Xenopus tropicalis: one gene and its partners. The protein of the gene in region 1 purifies or fractionates together with the protein of each later gene. This does not show direct contact. Links are inferred from orthologs where the notes say so. Each region holds a gene or a part of one and is shown in the gene's direction. Other genes may lie near its edges.

Evidence for each region. The genes of interacting proteins can lie anywhere in the genome.
Region 2: the proteins of lats1 (region 1) and cul4a purify together in Homo sapiens (affinity purification with western blotting; 3 studies listed by BioGRID). This does not show direct contact. The link is inferred for Xenopus tropicalis from reciprocal best matches to the Homo sapiens genes LATS1 and CUL4A.
Region 3: the proteins of lats1 (region 1) and sav1 purify together in Homo sapiens (affinity purification with western blotting; 3 studies listed by BioGRID). This does not show direct contact. The link is inferred for Xenopus tropicalis from reciprocal best matches to the Homo sapiens genes LATS1 and SAV1.

What each region holds. Positions count from the first base shown.
Region 1 is NC_030681.2:58,191,957-58,196,043, forward strand, and holds the start of lats1 (serine/threonine-protein kinase LATS1), read left to right. Parts: upstream 1-1,137; 5' UTR 1,138-1,240; intron 1,241-4,087. UniProt on the Homo sapiens protein: Negative regulator of YAP1 in the Hippo signaling pathway that plays a pivotal role in organ size control and tumor suppression by restricting proliferation and promoting apoptosis.
Region 2 is NC_030678.2:116,025,161-116,028,815, reverse strand, and holds part of cul4a (cullin-4A), read left to right. Parts: intron 1-1,006; coding exon 1,007-1,110; intron 1,111-1,264; coding exon 1,265-1,334; intron 1,335-3,163; coding exon 3,164-3,237; intron 3,238-3,655. UniProt on the Homo sapiens protein: Core component of multiple cullin-RING-based E3 ubiquitin-protein ligase complexes which mediate the ubiquitination of target proteins. As a scaffold protein may contribute to catalysis through positioning of the substrate and the ubiquitin-conjugating enzyme.
Region 3 is NC_030684.2:93,078,929-93,082,583, reverse strand, and holds part of sav1 (protein salvador homolog 1), read left to right. Parts: intron 1-838; coding exon of another isoform or gene 839-843; coding exon 844-1,285; intron 1,286-3,092; coding exon 3,093-3,363; intron 3,364-3,655. UniProt on the Homo sapiens protein: Regulator of STK3/MST2 and STK4/MST1 in the Hippo signaling pathway which plays a pivotal role in organ size control and tumor suppression by restricting proliferation and promoting apoptosis.

The sequences.
Region 1 (4,087 bases):
TATATGTTATAAATGCATAAATAAAAAAAAAAAAATATATATATATATGGGGATAATATAATAACCTCTCAAATACTTTATTTTCCAGTAGGTCCTTTCAACGGACACAGGGACACCGACCCGGTTTAGAATACGGGAGGTCCTGTTTAAATATTCAGAAAGGAATTTTTACTGTGAGAGCTGTGAAGTTGTGGAACTCCCTCCCAGTCATACTGATACAACTGATAAGGGGCTGGATGGCATTTTAGCAAGTGAGGGAATACAGGGTTATGGGAGATAGCTCTTAGTACAAGTTGATCCAGGGACTGGTCCGATTCCCATCTTGGAGTCAGGAAGGAATTTTCTTTCACCCTCTGTGGCAAATTAGAGAGGCATCAGGGGTTTATGGATTTTTTTGCCTTCCTCTGGACCAACTAAAAGTTAGGCAGGTTATATATAGGCATTAAGGTCAAACTTGCCCCCCACCTTCTCTTAAGTCACTGATTGGCTACCAACTTTTAACAGGTTAGAGAGATGCAAAGAAGGAAGTAGTGTTCTGGCTAGACATCTGCTCACCCCAGTATTTAAAGATTATATTTTTGGCTAAGTATATTGAAAACATTTTTTTTTATTTTGCGCAACCTATCTACCCAGTTTTTTCACTGAACAATTCCTTTAAAAGTAGTGGTAGTAATCTGATATAATTTTAAACAGTAACCATATCTGTTCTGTGTATTTAGTTGAAAACCTCCTTTCCCAAACCTCTAGTTGAAACAGTTATCTAAGAAGATTTATCCACCCAGCCTGCAAGACTATTTTCGGAACCCCCAGATGACCTAGACCCTAAGCAGAAACCAAATACGTAAAAATGAAGTTTGGACACAGTACAAGTAGGAAGAAAAAAGTATAGGGAAGAAAAAAGTATAGGGAAGTAAAAGTGACTTACTTTCAAATAACGACCAACGACACCTACAAAAGGCGTTCAAGGCACCAAAACAAACAGATTTGGCTGCTCCGTACAGTACTTCAAACCACTTCCTAGTGAAGAAATGCACATTTGTGGCGTCAGCATCACGTGACTCCGACGTGACTGTTCCGTGATGAAGTCAAAACGCTCTTGCGTGTAGGCGGGCAGCCGGCAGTTGACAGTGGGAGGAACCGGAGGTTGTGAAGGGGGAAAAGTTACATCCGGGAATCTACAAGTCATATAAGCCCAAAGCTCAAAATGGCTGAGGTTTTGGGATGATTTGTGAAGTAACTGGTAAGTAACCCTTTATTTGTGAGGAGTAATTTAGTTGCTCAAAAAATTAAAAGTGCATGTGAACCTGGGTGGTGGTATGTACGAATTGTTTGTTTAGGAGGGGACTGTGCCGTGAAAAACGAGTAGTTTTTCTGCAGAAGTAAGAAACAAAAGTTGTGATCGAGTGTTGTTCGATGTTCGTAATACTGTACCGTTTTCGTGTTCTTGATCGATTAATTTAGACATGGAATGACTATTCGTTAGAAAGTGAACCCAGTTCTAGTTAAGAACAAAGAAGTCTGCAAAGTAAGATCAGAACGCTTGGATAGAATGTCTAGGTGCACCACCAGCGCTATCTCCAAACTCGGATAATACAGTAGTTCTGTGAAAAAAAGGTTTCACAAGATATAGATAGTGCACACAGAAGTTTTCTTTTTCCAGAAAATGAAATGGTGGTAATTTGCTTTTACATAGACAGTTATGCATTTTTCTAGGTGTGGAATAGTGTGGCCAGGTTATGATTATTTGCAATAAATGTTGGGGGCCATATGATTGATATGTGTTCACAATTATTCAAATTATATTTCACACAGGTGTTCTTATTTGTAGGATTTTATGTATTTCTATTAGTAGACATTCTTAAGGTAAAAATATTTATCAACCCAAGACCTCAATGAATCAGTTCAGCCACTATCCAGAATTTTGTTAATTATGATTGCTTTCTTTGCCTTACTAAGCAAAACTTGTTTAAATGCTGTAAGTTTTGCCCTGGTGGAAAATACTTCATTAACACACCAAACTTCTTTTCTCTAACTAGTGACATGAGTGACATCCGCCTGTCACTGCAAACACTGGAAAGAAATGATGCACGAAAATATGTACCTAAGTTAAATACACCCTGTGTGCACAATGACCGGTGGATGCATTGAGGCCAAAAATGTGCATTGCAGCATTTTAATAGTCACCTGTACTGTTTTAGAAAGTAGGCAGGTAATTTATCAGTTTTGTATATATTAGCAGTATTCGGACACAATGGGGTCACTTATCAAAACTGTGTAAATCAGGATGTGGGCTGCATCAATAAGCAGATGTGAATCTAACAATTTAGCCAGATATTGGTCGGTCAGGCCTGTTGGAAGGACCAAGTCAGCAGCTTTTATTGGCTTGTGTATGGCCAACCTTACTTTTGCTGTTATTGCTCCTAGTTGAAAAAGTCACCGTGGTTGCAGTGGGTTTCTGCCCTGGTGCAAATAGTTTTTTTTTGTTTTTTTGATAACTGAGCCCCACAGTCTTTTTTCCTCCAGGAGTCCACAGAAGCTAAAATATCCTTGTAATATTAACTTAGAGGAAGCTTGAATGGTGTACATGGAGCAATAAAACTTGGACCACCGTGTCTTGAAATACTCACATGAACGCTTCTTGTATGTTTCAGCCACAGCTTATTTTACTTGATTTAATCAGAATAATGACAGGCTGACGTGGGCATTTCAAGGCTGGACTGCAGCTGCAGTTAAAACCATAAACTGCAACATAAATTGGAGCCACCATGGGCAGTTTTGGCCTCTTCTCAATCCATTAAAATACACCAGCATGTTATTATTAGCCATAAGCTGGGTAGCATTAGCAGGATAGAAATCTGGAGCTCCTATCCGTTAAAACAGCAGATTTCTTCCGGACAGGTGTCTGGGAGAGTTGTATTCTTCTTGCCTGTCCTTTGTTCTGAGGGCAGGCTGAACAGATGAGGCTCTGTTCACATTAGCTGAGGGAGGCGGTTTTACTGACATCCCTTTGCAAGGCAGCAGTAAAGAGAGGCTGCAAATTTACCCTTATGTCTGTATTTTAAAGGGATACTGTCATGTGGAGAAGTGCTTTTTTCACAACACATCAGTTATTAGTGCTCTCCTGTTGATGTTACCGCCCAATGGCAGATGAGGGCATTTTGTTGCCCACATGAAATCATTCTCCTCACAGCAGCAAAGCAACCAGAAATACAACCGAATAACGTCCTCTGTAAATTGCCGCTTGTAAAAGGGACTTCTTACTTTGTTCAGCAAACATGCAGAACAGAACATTTTGGAGCAGTTAAAAAAATAAATAAATAAATTAAAAAAAGAGAGTTTTATCTGTGATGAGTTACATATGGTGCAGTTCAAATGTGTTTTTGGATGCTTTGTTACCCATGAAGTGTAAAGTTTTCTGACATCACCCAATCTGCAATTCCCCTAAAGGTGGCCATACACGGGCCAATTTCAGCTGCTGATATCGATCCTTTAGACCAATTCAACAGCTTATCTGCCTGTGTATGGGCACCAATGATGGTCCTCCTGGACCGACATTTGGCATGAAATCAGCCAGATCTCGAACTGGCAGGTTTGATTTTTCGGTCGGATCAGGGACCACATCAGCTCGTTGATGTGGTCCCCGAACAGACAGCGGCTATGCCCGCCGTTTTAATGCAAACGAATTAGCCCCATATATAGCCCTCCCGTAGGTGGGCATATCAGGAGAAGATCCACTCACTTGGTAACCTCGCCAAAGGAGTGGATCTTACAGTGTATGTCTACCTTAAGTGCTACATCACATGGGTAGGATGTGGGGGGTTATGCTGACACTGTGGTCAGGGAAAACCAGCAATGGTTAAAACAGCTACAGTATGTCTGCCTGTCACAGCTTCTGATAACATGAAATGTAATTTGACTAAGTATGGTTATTGGTGGAGTTCTACCTTTCACTGCTTCATGTTCATCACTCGAGGTGTTTCCATTTAAAATTATTGTGTGTTAATGGGGCATCTTGGCTTTTGCTGGCTTTTAGCATGTGTGGTTTAAGGCATTTCTCTGGCAAGTGAATATATGTTGTAAAGCCTAG
Region 2 (3,655 bases), on another chromosome or scaffold:
TTCCGGAAAACCCCAGGTCCTGAGCATTCTGGATAACCGGTCCCATACCTGTACTTGCAAGATATTCCCCTTGCATAATAGAATTCTATTTATTTGTCCTTAGGTAATCTGTGAGTAAAACAGTAGCCAAAAGTATGTTTAGGACAATCCTTGTTTATTAAACTCATGTTGGAAAGGGGGTATACTGTTATTTAACGTCACCACCTTCCCAACATCATTGCAACTTGTCTGTTGACAAAATATGGCTCCAATAGCTATGCAGTTTAACAAACTTACTCCAGAGGGTCTCTAGCTCATCTTGAAGTGTTGTTAAAAGCATGTAAGCAACTTGGGATAAATCTGGCATACAAGAAGAAAATTGCCTGCACTGTGTCCAATTATACTTTTCTTTAGTCTTGTTTACAACTCTTTTTCAAAATCCATGAGGCGCACAAACCTTTACAAGGCACAATACAAGGCAGGCATAAGGCAGTATAAATGCCTGCTCCCTGCAAGCTCTCAGCCTTTGTGTCTTGCAGTCTTGCTATGAGTTGTTTCTCAGAAAAGTTATATCAACACGGGAGCACTTACCGCCACTCATCCACGTGTGCTACTCACGGACCAACTCCCAATGGCCCCAAACAAGTAGATAACATCCAGAAAAAGCGGAGCACCACGTGGTGAAAAATAAAATCAGTCTTTACATGTACCGTTTTAATGTGACTAAATAAAGACTGATTTTATTTTTCACCACGTGGTGCTCCACTTTTTCTGGATGTAATCCGTGTTTTCTGCCTCCATCCTACTGACCTTAGTTATGTGTGCATACCTGCTTATGTGCTGCTGTTCTTCTAAGCATCGGTGAAGGAAATGCTATAGCAGTATCTGGCATTCTAAAGCTGGTAGAGCACACTGTAATAGATTGATCTAGTCCATCACAAGTTTCATTTTTTAACATTTAATTAAATCAGCTTTAGTAATTTTGTTCATCTTGTAAAAAAGCACTGTGTACTATGTTGTTTTTCAGGCTGTAGAAAATTTATGCTCCTATAAAGTTTCTCATACCCTTTACAAACAACTTCGTCAAGTATGTGAAGAACATATGAAAGCTCAAATCCATCAGTTCAGGGAATATCCTTTTCTTAAAGACTTATATAGAATTCTAAGGGCCACACTAAGTTTGACCCTTTTTATTAATTTGTTCTACTATAACTGATAAATGCAATGTGCTGACATTTTAAAAGAATGTGTATTACAGAACCCTTAACTTCTGATATGTGTGCACAGATTCTCTAGACAGCTTTTTATTTTTAAAAAAGGTTAACAGATGTTGGAAGGATCACTGCCGACAAATGGTAAGTGTACCATTGCTTTTGTTTGTGTTCTGTGAAATTCCATAAGTAAGGGTAAAGTTGGTGTGGGTACTGATTGAAAACAATGTTTAAAAAAAGTGTGTATTTATGAAATTAAAACTTTAGCTGTCATAAAGGTTTTGTGTGTGTGTGTGTGTGTGTGTATATATATAAAAATATAAGAAACAAAAATCCAGACTCGTTTAAATGAAAAAAGAAAAAATCTTTACTGCATTGTGCATAATAATTGCATTACTTACAACGTTTCAAGGCTCCCGCCTGTTTATCAAGTAGCAAGATGTATATATAGATATGTATGTAAAGAAGCAGAGAGCCGCACACACAGGGACTTTGCAAAAAGATAAAGCATTTATTGAAAAAGATCCAACGTTTTGAGCACTAACGGTGCTCTTCTTCAGGGAAAAACCAGATAGATATGTATGTATGTATGTATGTATATATAGATATACAGGTACGGGATCCCTTATCCGGAAACCCATTATCCGGAAAGTTCCGAATTACAGAAAGGCCATCTCCCATACACTCCATTATAAGCAAATAATTCTAATTTTTAAAAATGATTTCCTTTTTCTCTCTAATAATAAAAACAGTACCTTGTACTTGATCCCAACTAAGATATAATTAATTCTTATTGGAGGCAAAACAAGCCTATTGGGTGTATTCAATGTTTAAATGATTTTTAGCAGACTTAAGTTATGGAGATACAAATTAAAAAAAATGAAAAATAAAAACCTGCTACAGGAATGCCATCCTATCTTTATCTAAGTGCTTTAGTTAAAGGAAATCTATACTTCCAGAATGAAAACTTAACCAACAGTTGATTTTATGTTAAGTGACCTAGTAAGAATCTTGCCAAACTGGAAATATATGTTAGTAAACATTGCCCTTTTACATCCTTTCCCTTGATCCACCATTTAGTGATGGGCTGTGTGCTCCCTCAGAGATCACGACCCTTAATTCTTAAAATGGCAATTTTCTATTTAGGAGTACACAATGGTACATACTACTAAAAATATATTTTTACAAAAATGGTTTATTTAGATAAAGCAGGGTTTTACATATAGGCTTGTATATGCAATATATTTTTATAGAGACCTCCATTATTTGGGGGTATAGTTTTCCTTTAAATACAAAGGGAGAAAAATGTGGGTCCCTTAAGCATAATAATATGTTATCTCTGTTCTGCTTTTCTCCTCTGTAGCCCAACACCCACACCAAAAAACACTTTTGGAATTTGTATGGTTTTAGTATAATGCAGATATAAGCAAGGCAGTTAAGAGTGGGTAAGGTCAAGAAAATAAAAGAAACTGCCCTTTTTCCACACTACATAAAACTGATTTTCTTATGTATTTTATGGATGTTACATGTAGTAAACAAGTTTTCTGGTTATTTGTGGTTTAAGTCAGGCCTGGACTGTCAATCTGTGGATTCTGGCTAATGCCAGACTGGCTGCTGTAAGATGCAAAAGACAGTCATTATTAAGTGAGCTGGTAGGAGGCTCTTTGTGCATTTGAAAGGCTTTTGTCTATTTTGAATTCTATTCCAGGCCTGGGTTACATTATAGGCCTGTACAAGATTAAGTATATTCATTTTTGCTGAAATAGTTCTATTAAACTTACTAGTGTATACACATATATTACCTATTATATATTAGGCATTGTAATATTATACTCTTCAACACAACTTTAACACAACTACTTAAGACCCAAACTTGAATTTTTAAAATAAAGAACCCTGGGTAAACTGGAAATTTGAATATTACTGGAAATGTTTTAGCTTAATTTTTACTTAAATTTTCTCTTTCTCTTTAGATCATGATCAGAAGTATTTTTTTATTTTTGGATCGTACTTATGTCCTTCAGAACTCAATGCTTCCATCAATATGGTGCGTTTATAGTATGTGTGTGTGTGTATATATAATACAGTAATATATATATATATATATATATATATATATAAATCTCATTAGCAGATTGACACAGTGGCTTTACCTTTACATACGTTGTTTAGAAGTATGTTATATTTACTGTCTGATCTATTGACAAACATTCCAACTAAGGAATGTACTGGAATTTATGTAAAACAGTGTTTGCAGCAGCAAAAATGCTTACTGGATAAATTTGGCCTAGTTCACACTAGTATGTAATATTCTTTCTCTGCACAGGCTGTTATCAAATGTACGAGTTTTGTCTTTTTTTTTTTTTGCTACATGTTTTTTGCCACTTACAACTGACCATATATTAAGTCATTTCTAAGTACTCCCTCTGATGTCAGACCACACATTTGGCCCCATATCCCAAAGA
Region 3 (3,655 bases), on another chromosome or scaffold:
ATCTGAATCTGACCTGCATGCTCACAAACTAACTGAACAGATATTGCCCCCCCTAAATGTCCTGACTAATGAAGCAGTTAGAGAGCTGAAAGCAGTAGTAGAATTCTGGCCATTATGTTAGATATCTGCCCACTCCAGCCTTTATAAATTACGTTTTTGCCTAATTACAAATATTTTTTTTTTTGTGCAGTCAGTCCATTTTACCCAGTTTCATTTACCCACTTCCTTAGCATATTGGCTCTGCTAGTAAAAAAAAAAAAAAATGGTGCTCTTGCCATATTTTACAGCACTGATTTCTCAGAATGCTCGGATTAAGGTCCCCTTTGAGGTTAAGCATTTGGTCAGGGCACATCTTAACTCACAACAAGGATTGAGAAACAGTTTTTTCAATCATAGTTTTAATAATGTATTGGACATCAAATAAGGATTTATCCCAGATCTCTCTGTAATTAGTGTTCAAACTTGGGGTTCAGGAGTATTAAGTAAATAGTAATTCTCCACATAGCTCTCAATAAATGAACTTTGGCTTAAGTCCCCAAAGTAGGCCAGTCCCAGAGTTTGGGAACCACTGATCCTCAGCCAATGCCTCAGTATGCCCGCTTTTGCCAAATATGCTAACATCCATTCCTGTAAATATATGTTTCATTCGCTTCCCTCCCCCTCCTCCCTTATTAGAGTGCCCATAAAGTGTAACGTAAGTACACCCCCACAATAATTGCATTTGCTTTGCACTATAATGAACAAACAATATACTTGGAAATTTTCTATATAATGAAATATTCATTAATTGGAATATATCTTTGAGAAACTATTTAATCACGGTTTGTTCTTCTTTCAGATCTGATGCCTTCTTTTATCCGCCATGGGCCAACTATACCGAGACGGACTGATATCTGCCCACCAGAGACAAATACTACGCCCTACACCCCCCCAGGAGATGGAGCTGTTTCTAGGAACCAAAGCTTTTTGCGAACACCAGTTCAGAGAGCTCCACAAGAAATTTTGCGCAGAGAAAGCAATAGACTTTCTGCACCTCCCTACTTAGTAAGGGGACTAAGTGATGTTCCCAGGGAATATGCCTCCTCATCTCAGTCATTTTTAACAGATTCCAGTGCAGTTATGGAAAATGGAGATGTGAACAGCAGATATTTTTGCTCAGATTTTCAATATGATGGACAGAGGAGAAGACAAGTTGGGGATCGTGTACATGAAGACTACAGATATTATGAGAACAGCAATGACCATGTCCAGAGGATTGTACAGGCACCTGGCAGGCACCCAGCTGGTAGGTGAAGCCATCTGTAATGTTTCTGTGTGGACCTAATATGATCCCTGTACTGTTTGCACTCTCTAGTCCCTGTCCGTGTTTTAAATGAGGGATGAGCCTGTCCTAACGGCCCCCGCTAGAAGGACAGTAGGAGGTGGATAGCCAATCACAGCCCTGCAGTCACGCAAGCAAAGGTAGGCGTCAGTTCACTGTCAGGTGCGTTTGGCTGCAAAGTGGTTCATATCCTACAGTACGGTGTGCCACCGGCCCTCTCCACATCTTGGAAAAGGACACACAGTATGTCTCCTTTAAAATAACACACCCCCATTGTACAGTTGACTGAATGAATGATGACTGAATGCACTTCCATTTATTGAAGTTTGGACCGTCATGGCTTATCATATCTTTAGTAAAACGTTACTGAGAACAGATTTAGTGACAGAATGCAAACATTTTATCTGCCCAGAGAAACTGTTCCAAGGCAAGCTGCTCGTTATTTGACAAGATTTGGCTTGTTTGTTTTTCTCCCTTTCTCAAAAATGTTATAGAGTTGCTTGTTTGATGCCATATAACCAACTGTCCTTGAGTGTGTTAAGCTTTGCAAGATTCTGATTAAGCTTTTTTCCTAAAAGAGATACTGTTGTCACAGAAAAGTAAGCTTTCCAATATCTAAATACAATGTGAAATAAAGTATAAATTCATGTAGTTTTGAAGAAAAAAAAATTCATGTCTGAAACTATATCTGGTACAGGTATGTGACCCATTATGCAGAATGCTTGGGACTTGGGGTTTTCTGGATAAGGGGTCTTTCTGTAATTTGGATCTCCCAACTTATGGATAATGGATTTCCAGATAATGGGTCTGATACCTGTACTGGCATTGCTCTGCTTCATTTCAGGTAAAACAGTGGTTGTTCTTATTCATGATTAGACCACTTGTCTTTTAAGGCATACAACAGTTACCTTTTATATGTAATATTCTTTACATTTACTACGCTTTTCTTTGAAAGGCCTTCATGTACGAGAGACAAGATGTAATGGCTTGCAGATATCAGACTTTTTACTACGACTTTATCCCATTATAACCATATCTACATCCCTATAGGATCTTTTCTTTTTGTTCGTTTTTTTTTTTTGAACTGTTACATTCTTATGGGTCCCTTTCCATCACTCATCATGTCTGGCAGTTAGAGCTGTCCTCCCTCCCATGGCATGTCATGGGTCCTTTTAGTTTAGATCTCTGAATTTCCTGTATAGTTGTTTATGGGACCCCTCAAAATCGTACCAGAATCTTGCCAGAAACAGGATAACAAAGAAATTTGTGCTTCATTTCCATTCCACATTGCAAACATATTTTGGTGATTTGGGATCCCTGTGTCACATACGTAGGCCAATAGCACCCAAATGTGTTGTTGCTTCATTACTTTGTCTCTATGACACAATGCAAGGAAAAACTTAAATACATATATTATAAATGCATACACGTGTATTTGCCATTACAGCTGTTCTTTCTTATATGTGCCCCCCCCCGTATTTATGTAATTTTGACTTTTTCAATGTGAGCCAAGACTTGAGACAGAGAGGTTTATTCAATAATAAATTGAGTGTCCTACTCAGTCATTTGGAGGCATGTGCCAGATGTAAAGTAGAGGGAAGCTGAGTGGCTTTCTTAGTAGCAATTAAAGGGAAATAAAAAAAAATATTTTGGTGAACTGGGGATCCTTGTGTCGCTGAATTCCCCTTCATGTATGGATTAATGTTATTTATCAAATGATATCTTAGGACACAATGACAATGCACAGTTAATATTTGCTTTACTATTTTAGGTATTGGTAGAGTTGCTGCTACGTCACTAGGAAATCTAACAAATCATAGTACTGAAGATATGCCTCTGCCACCTGGCTGGACAGTGGACTGGACTATAAGAGGAAGGAAATACTACATAGATCACAATACAAACACTACCCATTGGAGCCATCCACTTGAAAGGGAAGGATTGCCCCCTGGTTGGGAGAGAGTTGAATCAGCAGAATTTGGAGTGTATTATGTGGACCATATTAATAAAACAGCCCAATACAAACACCCATGTGCTCCAAGGTAAAGTTGTATAGAAAATTAACTTTGTTTGTTGCAGCTACTTGCAGTAATAATATTGTGAAACAGAATGTTAGAGACCTTACGGGTTATGTTATACAGTGGTCTGCCGTGGCCCTCCTAAGCAGAAGAGTGGCAAGTAATACATTCTGTTGAATGGGAAATGGCAACCTTATGTCTCAACAGCATTTGCATGAAACAGCTGCTGTTTAGGGAGGCAAAACTCAGCATTACTGAATGATATTCATTTCCAGTAACCAGCATGGGAAGTTCTGAGGGCCATAGTTCTACCTTA